Nothobranchius furzeri: one gene and its partner. The protein of the gene in region 2 purifies or fractionates together with the protein of the main gene of each other region. This does not show direct contact. Links are inferred from orthologs where the notes say so. Each region holds a gene or a part of one and is shown on either strand. Other genes may lie near its edges.

Region 1 (4,568 bases), on a different chromosome or scaffold from region 2:
ACAGAACCCTGCTCATTGTTAAATATATTTAAAATGAGAAATAACCACAGGTCTGAATGGGAGGCCCGCTTCTCTGCTGCAGATTTAACGTCTGAACGTCTCCTCGTGGAAGTCGACAGCACTCTTCTTTTTAATCGTCCTCAGAGTCGCTGTCTTCTCGCGTAGGGAGTGAACTTCTGATTGATGACATTAACTTGTCTTCGATTTGTTTCTTGGGGTTTTCTTCCAGGTCCGTCTTCACCGCTCCGGTTTCTGATAACCTCCACTCCAGCTCTGGAAGAGAAGCACAGAAACACTTAAGCTGGAGAACAAGCAGATAAACAAAAACGATCAACAGCTCGTCAGAACGGTGGTAGTCAGACACGATGTTTAAACGTTGAAATCATCTCAGGTTTCTTATTACAGGGACGAGCCTAAACAGTAACTTGGTGAGTCTGGTCTGGTTTAATAAATCAGACCTACCTTCGACTTTGAGGTTCATGCCCCCAAACACCAGAGGACCGATGAACTGGGCCTTCATCTCCCCCTCAAAGTAAACAAAGATGGTGGGCAGGTTCCGGTCGGGGTAGTTGGGGATGCAGGTGGTGGAGATGGACTTAAGAAACTTGGTCTGAGGAAACTTCCTGGCCAGCGTGTTCAGGTGTTGGTTGATGAGGGTGCACAGAGGGATGCTGGGACAGAGAGACCAGGCGGATCGGTTAGTGCTGAAATCACCACACTGATTCAGATTCAGCAGCATGTTTTCTATACATAAAGCTTTCCAGATGTTTATGTAAAACATCCAGGTCTAGCTTTGGTCTTAACTCACCCCTGCTTGTAGAGGTGCAGCACCACCCATATTCCCTCTCCAGCCTTGTTGACCTCCTTGACGTAGTCCTGTCCAGAGATTTCCCCCAGTTCTCCAAAAGCGTTCTTTATCTGAGCCGCTTTCCACTCCGCAAGACGCTTCTGTCTGGAAGGAGATGCAGCTTGCATCAGCACACAGCCACGGAGAGAGAAATGCATCAGGAATAGAAGAAATTATAAGATTCAGAATTAAAGCGTTGACTTGATTTCCTAGATGTAATCGAGTAAAAACCAACCATATGGGAAAGAGATTTTATTTTTACTGGTGGATGACGGTGGCTCAGGAGTTAAGTGCTCGCCCCGTAATCGGAAGGTTGCAGGTTTGAGCCCCGCTCAGTCTGTCGCTGTCGCTGTGTCCTTGGGCAAGATACTTAACCCACGTTGCCTGCTGGTGGTGGTCGGAGGGACCGGTGGCGCCTGTGCTCGGCAGCCTCACCTCTGTCAGTGTGCCCCAGGGCAGCTGTGGCTACATCGTAGCTCATCCCCACCAGTGTGTGAATGTGTGTGTGAATGGGTGAATGACTGATTGTGGGGTTCCAGAACTCTAGAAGGCACCATATCAGATACAGGCCATTTACTAGGGATGCACCGACATGACGTTTTTGGGCCGATATTGATTTTTACATAACTGTTATGTCTGATACCGATTTATGCTTCTGAAATCAGCAAATTTTGTATAGACTGACATTATGTAAGCCGAATTTGTGAATATTTTGCTATTTTTCTATAAAATGGAATTTGCAAGATGTTATTCACACACACACACACACACACACACACACAGTCACAGGACTAAACTAAACACATCCTCACCCTCTCAAACAGATACACAAACGGAAACAAGATGGAAAAAATTTGGGTTTTTAATGTCAGCCCCGTTTTACTTATTGGACCAATACCGATATGTTCAAAAATGACTAACATCGGCTGATACCGATATATTGTGCATCCCTAAATTTCACCAGGGTTTTGTTTTGTCAAATGTACAATAAAGTGCATCAGGCACCAAAAACCCGACAGATAGTTATTGAGTTTTGATCGCCCAGTTCTCCTGTTGAACCACTTACCTGTACATCTCAATGGCAGCTTCATCCTCCTCTCCAAACTCGTCTTCGTTCTCCTCCAGCTCATCCAGAGTCATACTCTCATATGTTTTAACTGCACAAACAGCAGACGGCCTCTAATCCACAAATAATCTTACAATTTCTGATTTTATGGGATTGAGATAAGCACAAACATAAAATAATATGACTAATGTAAAAAAGTATGTTAAAATATGAAAATACATTTAAAATCAATGTGGGTGAAACCCTTAAACAGTCATGTTGAAGCCTTCATACCGACAGATTGTTGCTGGAGGGCCAGCTCCTCCTCCTCTTCATCCTCTTTAGGAACTTCTTTGGGGGGGAGGATGCCTTTCTTCCTCAGGATATCGTTCCACTCCGTGTCTTCATTTGGGTTCTTTTGATGAAAACATAATTAATCATTCACACAACGACAAATGTAATAGAATTAATTATAACTTCTGTTTGTGTCTGTCTAACAACTATAAGCTTAAAAAACAAATCAGATGATTTAATTACTGAAAATACATTATAGCTATTGGCCATCAGTAGCCTTTAATAAAACGTGCTTCATTTTATGTAATTAAACACTTTTATTTCATCTGCAACGAAAACAATGAGGATAATGAAAGTGAGGGCCAATAATCAACAGTTAGGCACGTGGCACTTCTACTTTAATTGACATGTTTCAGGAAAAGAAGAAAAGTCCAAATGGTTTAACCAAAATCTGTGTTCAGACTCACGGACATTTATATAAGTCAGTGAACATTTAAAGCGAACTTTAGTTTGAATATTCAAAAAAGACAATTTAAACCCACGATCTGTGGGGGTTTTTGTCCAAAAGTAAAGGACGGATTAAACAAAACTTTTCACATCTCTTCGGTTTTACTTGATATTATTCTCCTGCTCAGGGATCTGATTAAACTGTTAACACGACAACGACACGCCCATTGCTACTTTGTTCAACGATAAAAACATGTACACATAATTTTCACCACCGTTGAACCGCCACTTTCGCTAACGAAAGCTGTTTAAAATCCAAACAAAACCAAACAAACCTGCATTTTGACAAATGAAAGAGTCCCTTCTAAACCACACCACTGCTCCTTTCCAAACCGGAAACAGAAGGAAGTCCGCGTGGGCAGATCCGGCAGAAACAAGAAACTGTAGATTTTATTTTAATCTACTTAGCCCGGAAATGCTGTCATTTAAATTGAATAGTATTGTGAAGCGAATAGAAATATTTTTATTTAAAATACTGTAAAGTAATCAGCGATTTCGAAACAAAAAATAAAAGAGGAATATTTAATTGTGTGGAAAGACAATAATACAAGTAACACCAACTTCCTGCGAGGTGCGATATGACCACATAAGGAAAGAGAGAGAAGCAATCCATTTGTAGCAGCTGGGAACGGAACCAGACAGGTGCTATTCAGGAAGGCCGGTACCGGACCCGAACCTGCCTCTCTCCGTTTTACTGAATTAAAAAAATAACATTTCACTGGGTAAAATAAAACACATCGACAATATTTGCTAATGGAAAATGTTTGCTGATAATAACAGTGTACTACATTCCCAAAGTGCAAAAACAAGTGGATTTAATTAGTGCTCGTTGTTTTCACTATTTACGAAACCAATATTACAGCTCCAAAATGAACGGGTTCTCTGTCATTTATCGAGTTTTTTCTTCAAGTTGCTCATTTATTAATTAACCACACGACATTTGAGTTGTTTCTATTAGTTGTTAAATAAATCATAACAACAATTCAGCGGAGAAAACAGGTTAGACCAAACTTGATCAGGTAAACCTTGATATTTCCTAGAACACCAGATTAGTGAAGAACGTTAACCTTCTGTTGGATAAATGTCGCCCTCGTGTGGCTGATTTAAGTTTTTACTACATGTTGGCTAAATCAGTTTCTAATGCTTGTAATGCAAAAACCAATCTTAATTAGAAATAAAAACAGCTCATTTAATTACAGAAGTATTATTTAGGGTTTACACAAACACGTGCGCGCGCACACAGATTAAAAAATGACGCCCTTTTCAAAAGTACTCTAATTCAACGAGCCTTAATGTTTTATTGATTCACATTCGAGTTTTTCCTAAATTACACTAAATTAATTTGTGTAAAAATGTTTCTAGCAAAAAGCAAAATCATTTAAACAAATTATAATTCTCTGAATATAATCTGTTTAAGGTCTCAGTTTTAATCTAATCACATACACAATGGTAGGTTATTTATTATAAATGAATTAATTTGGTTTCTTTTTGTGTGCTATTTATAACCACCACCGCATCCAATGAGGAAAGGGCAAGAAAATTTTTACCGGAACTCGTGGAAGGGAAAGTTGGTGAAGAGAGAAAATAAAAATAGGGAGGTCTCACTCTGACATTGTTTTTAAAAGCCATCACGTTTCTTTCACGCGATGTGAAGTTCAAATTTACAGTTTTCTCTGAGAAAAACTTTTATCATTCTTTTAACATTAACCATTGGTCTGTTAATTATTCATCTTTTGTTTTGTCTTCAGAAATAAAATTAATATATATAAAAAAAGAAATGCATGCTTAATCCCTTGATGGCAGCTCGCTATTTGTTATTAAATTGCATTCATACCATTGACCTAATCTCTGTATTGTATCTGGTGAAAATAAATC
Region 2 (4,439 bases):
AAATATTCTGCTTTCTGCGTTTGTCCTCCCAGCAGACCCAGTCTAAAGAAACGCTCTGCAGGGGCGGTGATGAGGAAGTTGGACCCCAGCGGTAAACTCTGTCGCTCTAACCTCTCGCGTCGAGCGTCACGCCTCTCAAACACACTGGGGGGGTGGGTCAACACGGCTGCGAGTACTGCTTGCAAACCCAACTGAACTACATTTATGTGTGACTGTGAAAGTTGTCTTTTTACATGTATTATTGTGGCGTCACTGTTCTGTTACATTTACATGTAGATTTGTTTTGATACTGGGAGACTTTTCTATACCTAGCTGCCTTTTTTCTGTTTTTATATTAATTTGTGTGAATTTTCAGTGTTTACATGTTTCAAGTTGGCTAGATATGAGTTAAAAGTCCTCATTTTTAGCTGACACAGGACCTTGAGAGATGTTGTCTGACAAAATGTCTCATTTTTCCTTTTTTTTTTTGACGTAGTTGCATTTCATAAAACTTGTTTTTAAAATAAACCAAATCTAGTTAAAGCACTAACACTAAATGTACTGACACTGGACAGCAAATCTGTCCCATATATGTATGCAATTATCCTAACATTTTGGTGCCTTTTTTATAAAATGTGTTTAAACCAAGCATATAGTGTTATTTTTATATAAAGATTAAGCAGTGGTTAATTGGGAGCTTTTTTCTCCATCGGTTGGTAATGTGAGTGGTTTATGTGCTAATACAGTACACATAAATCATCCGTTAATGTGATGGGGGAGAAGTTAAAGGCTCATTACCAGACGATGGCAGTGAGGATTATGTCATGAAGAGAAATCCAGTGAGTCGTTTGCATAGTGACTGCCTCAAATGAAGCAAAACATTTCCCCCATCTTATTTTTTCTGTGTGAATGGAAGAGGAGAAAAGCTGTCTAAATGTGAATGTGTCCAAACAATAAAATCTGTACAAATCCAGAAACAAGTCTTCACCCTATGAGTTTGACATCACGTTGATGGGTTGTAAATTTTTACATGTATTGTTTTTATTAAAAGTAGCTAAACATTACATGGTGAGTGTTACTCTTCTGCCGCACAGTAACCCCAAAACAAGATCGCTACATATATTTAGGTTATAAGTAATATTTTAAAATGACCTGTAATTTCAGTGCATGTAAGAATTGTTACTTTGACTTCTTGATTAAACATTTGCAATAATTTTACGCCATTGGTCTAATGTCGATGACATGTGCACCTTCAAGTGGAAAATCTTAAACTTGGTTTATGCGGTTTATGCTCAATCAGCCCAGCTGAAACGACAACCGTTCGGTTTGTCCCTTGTTGTTACCCGTATCTGGCTCCGCCTCCTCCTCTCCGGCTTTGTACCCCGAGCAGAAAGCACGCTGCGGTTAGCTTCTTTAACTTACCGGGGCTGCTAATCATCAGAAAATGGCTCTTCACGTCCCAAAACCTCCGGGCTTTGCCCAAATGTTAAAGGATGGTGCTAAGGTGGGTTCAAGTGACCGTGTTTATGCGGTAGAATAGGTTTGAGTGGGTGTTTGTGATTTAGCTTGCGAGCTAATGTTAGCATGTACATTCACAGTCATGTGGGAGACTTCTAGAAAGAGCCAGGCCGGTCCAAGTAACTGGTTGGGTTTGCCGTTGAAATAATGGGTCTGATTATTTTGTATTGTTTACGGTTCTTATTTGGGACGTTTTCATGTTTGCACATACACCTGCCTAAACGTTAAAATGATGCTGCAGTAGTTAGGTTGTCAAACTGCAGTCACACCCAGTTAGCGTTTAGCTAATTGTCACAACTAAAGTTCAGACACTTAGTTTCTGCTCTTTAAGGGCATTTAACATGATTTTCCTTATGAGTGTTCTCACTTCTTTCTGCTCTACACCAAGTACAGACCAGCTCATATTTTCATAATAGTTCTAAGTTGCTGCAAATAACAGGTTGACCATAGCATTTATCTTTTTGAAATTAAAACGAACATTCTGCATCGTTGTAAATGTCTTATTAAATGTACTATTTTATTTTCTACTGTAGCATTTTTCGGGGCTAGAAGAAGCAGTTTTTCGTAACATAAGAGCATGCAAGGAGCTTTCTCAGACCACACGAACCGCCTACGGCCCCAATGGTAACTATGTTCCAACAAAAGTATCTAAAATCAGAAACATCTTTAAAGTTTGACTTATTTAATTAAACTGAAACTGTTGTGTCACAGGTATGAACAAGATGGTCATCAACCACCTGGAGAAGCTGTTTGTCACTAATGATGCAGCAACAATCCTCAGAGAGCTGGAGGTGAGGAGATATTTACTAAATACTTATTGTCCATCCTGTTGAAAGTAAATAAAATAATTCACAAATATGCTAATCCACTTTGTTTGGCCCCAACATTTGTTCCATAGGTGCAGCATCCAGCAGCTAAAATGATTGTGATGGCATCCCACATGCAAGAGCAGGAGGTTGGAGATGGCACCAACTTTGTGCTTGTGTTTGCTGGAGCTCTGCTGGAGCTGGCTGAGGAGCTACTCCGGATGGGCTTGTCTGTGTCAGAGGTAACTAGAATAATATGGGATGGATTTAATGTTATTTACCCTGAAAAAACATTTTCTTTAATTTTTTTTCCTCTCTTATGACGAAATGACTTAAATTTAGAATAAAGAAGTAAGTGTATCTTTTTTTCCAGGTGATTGATGGCTATGAAAAGGCTTGTAAGAAAGCTCTGGAGCTCCTTCCCGACTGCGTATGTTCCTCAGCTAAAAACCTACATGATCTAAAAGAGTCCACATCTCTCATTCGCACGGCAGTCATGAGCAAACAGTACGGGAATGAGGACTTCCTCTCCAACCTCATCGCAGAGGCCTGTGGTTAGTCAGCTCAGATGTCATCCCTACAGTAATGTAAGTTTGTTTCTTTCTGCCTTTATTTATTTTTTACCCTACTGGGTTTTTGTTTCAGTGTCCATATTCCCAGAGTCCAACAATTTCAACGTTGACAACGTCCGGGTGTGCAAGATTTTGGTGAGCTTCATTACATGTTAGCTTTATTTTTTAGTCTGCATTCTTTGTGACTAATTATTTTTTTATGTATTCAGGGTTGTGGAGTGACCAATTCTTCCATGCTTCATGGCATGGTTTTTAAGAAGGAAGCAGAGGGAGACGTCACATCTGTTAAGGATGCCAAGATTGCAGTATTCTCCTGCCCCTTCGACTGTATGGTGACAGAGACCAAGGTAACAAATGTTGTCAGGCTTAGGAGAAAGCTGAGAAATGTTGGCATTTTATTCCTCAACCCTCTGGAGTCCAGGGTGTAATTTGCCGTTTTTGACTAATTGAGAGTTTTCCTTTGTATTTCCAAAATAAAAACCATAACCACTGCCTTATGTGGCATCAGTCTTTTCAACACAACCTGGACCTTATGAATTTATACTTATTTTTTATATTTGAACACAAAGGGGTTGCATATTAGACCATAAATCACTCAAAAACATAAAATCCAAACTGGAAAAAAGTTGCTTATTTTACTGTGAAACCAACAAACATTTATGACGAATGTTTTTTTTTTTATAATTTAGAATGGTAATCTAGACTGTACATTTATAAAAAATATGAATAAATATAGCAAATAACACATAAAAAAAAAATATTAGCCCTCTGGGGTCCAGGGTGTAAATCACCATTTTTGACTCATTTTGGTTTTTCTTTTGTATTTTCTAATAAAAACAATAAATATTGCCTTATGGGGATCATTTTTTCCAGGACAACCTTGACTATCTGAATTTATACTCATTTTATTAATTTGGCAATAATGTACATGCATTTTGGAGTGGGGAGTGGCTCCGTCTCACGCCGCGGAGATCGAGATCTTACAGCTGCGCGGCGCCGCCCACTCCTCTTGTTGGATCTCCGAGGAGCTGCATCGCTGCCTTTATCCTCTACCTCATCATGACCCCACTCTTCTATGAGGAAGGATGGATCTGCCACATCCTCAACATCCTCGCTATTTGCCTCAGACTCCGGCTGCGAGTCTCCGTCCACTTCCTCTGCTTCCAGTTCAAAAAACAGCCGAACTATCTGAACTGCCTGGTGGACATTTATCCTTCTCATCATCCTTTATTAAAGCCTAATAAAAGCCGACTTAACTGCAGCGACACTATATCTGTCCGGATCGCTCCAAAATATGAAGTTTATCTAGCCTGGCAAGCCAGACTAAATAATACATTTATTTAGTCTGGCCACACTCCATTGACAGCTCTCAGTTGTGGGGCGGGTTCTACCGTTGTCTTTCAAATGATCTCTGCATTCTACTGGACAATGAATGTGACATACTCTTGTTTCACTCTGTTGCATCATCCCACCCACCAGGCATATAGAGTGCCCTGATTGGCCCACAAAGCGAATAAAGCTCTGTGATTTGTTCACTAAGCAGATAGAGCACTATGATTGGCCC

What was found.
Region 1: the proteins of cct8 (region 2) and pdcl3 purify together in Homo sapiens (affinity purification with mass spectrometry; 3 studies listed by BioGRID and IntAct, with this or other methods). This does not show direct contact. The link is inferred for Nothobranchius furzeri from reciprocal best matches to the Homo sapiens genes CCT8 and PDCL3.

The regions. Positions count from the first base shown.
Region 1 is NC_091754.1:32,212,375-32,216,942, reverse strand, and holds the start of pdcl3 (phosducin-like protein 3), read right to left. Parts: upstream 3,089-4,568; 5' UTR 2,975-3,088; coding exon 2,969-2,974; intron 2,308-2,968; coding exon 2,187-2,307; intron 2,005-2,186; coding exon 1,914-2,004; intron 953-1,913; coding exon 809-952; intron 672-808; coding exon 463-671; intron 274-462; coding exon 131-273; 3' UTR 1-130. UniProt on the Homo sapiens protein: Acts as a chaperone for the angiogenic VEGF receptor KDR/VEGFR2, increasing its abundance by inhibiting its ubiquitination and degradation.
Region 2 is NC_091750.1:65,567,513-65,571,951, forward strand, and holds the start of cct8 (T-complex protein 1 subunit theta), read left to right. Parts: upstream 1-1,344; 5' UTR 1,345-1,423; coding exon 1,424-1,483; intron 1,484-2,030; coding exon 2,031-2,121; intron 2,122-2,208; coding exon 2,209-2,288; intron 2,289-2,395; coding exon 2,396-2,545; intron 2,546-2,676; coding exon 2,677-2,857; intron 2,858-2,948; coding exon 2,949-3,010; intron 3,011-3,084; coding exon 3,085-3,222; intron 3,223-4,439. Other genes in the region: protein PIMREG, read left to right, coding at 33-195. UniProt on the Homo sapiens protein: Component of the chaperonin-containing T-complex (TRiC), a molecular chaperone complex that assists the folding of actin, tubulin and other proteins upon ATP hydrolysis.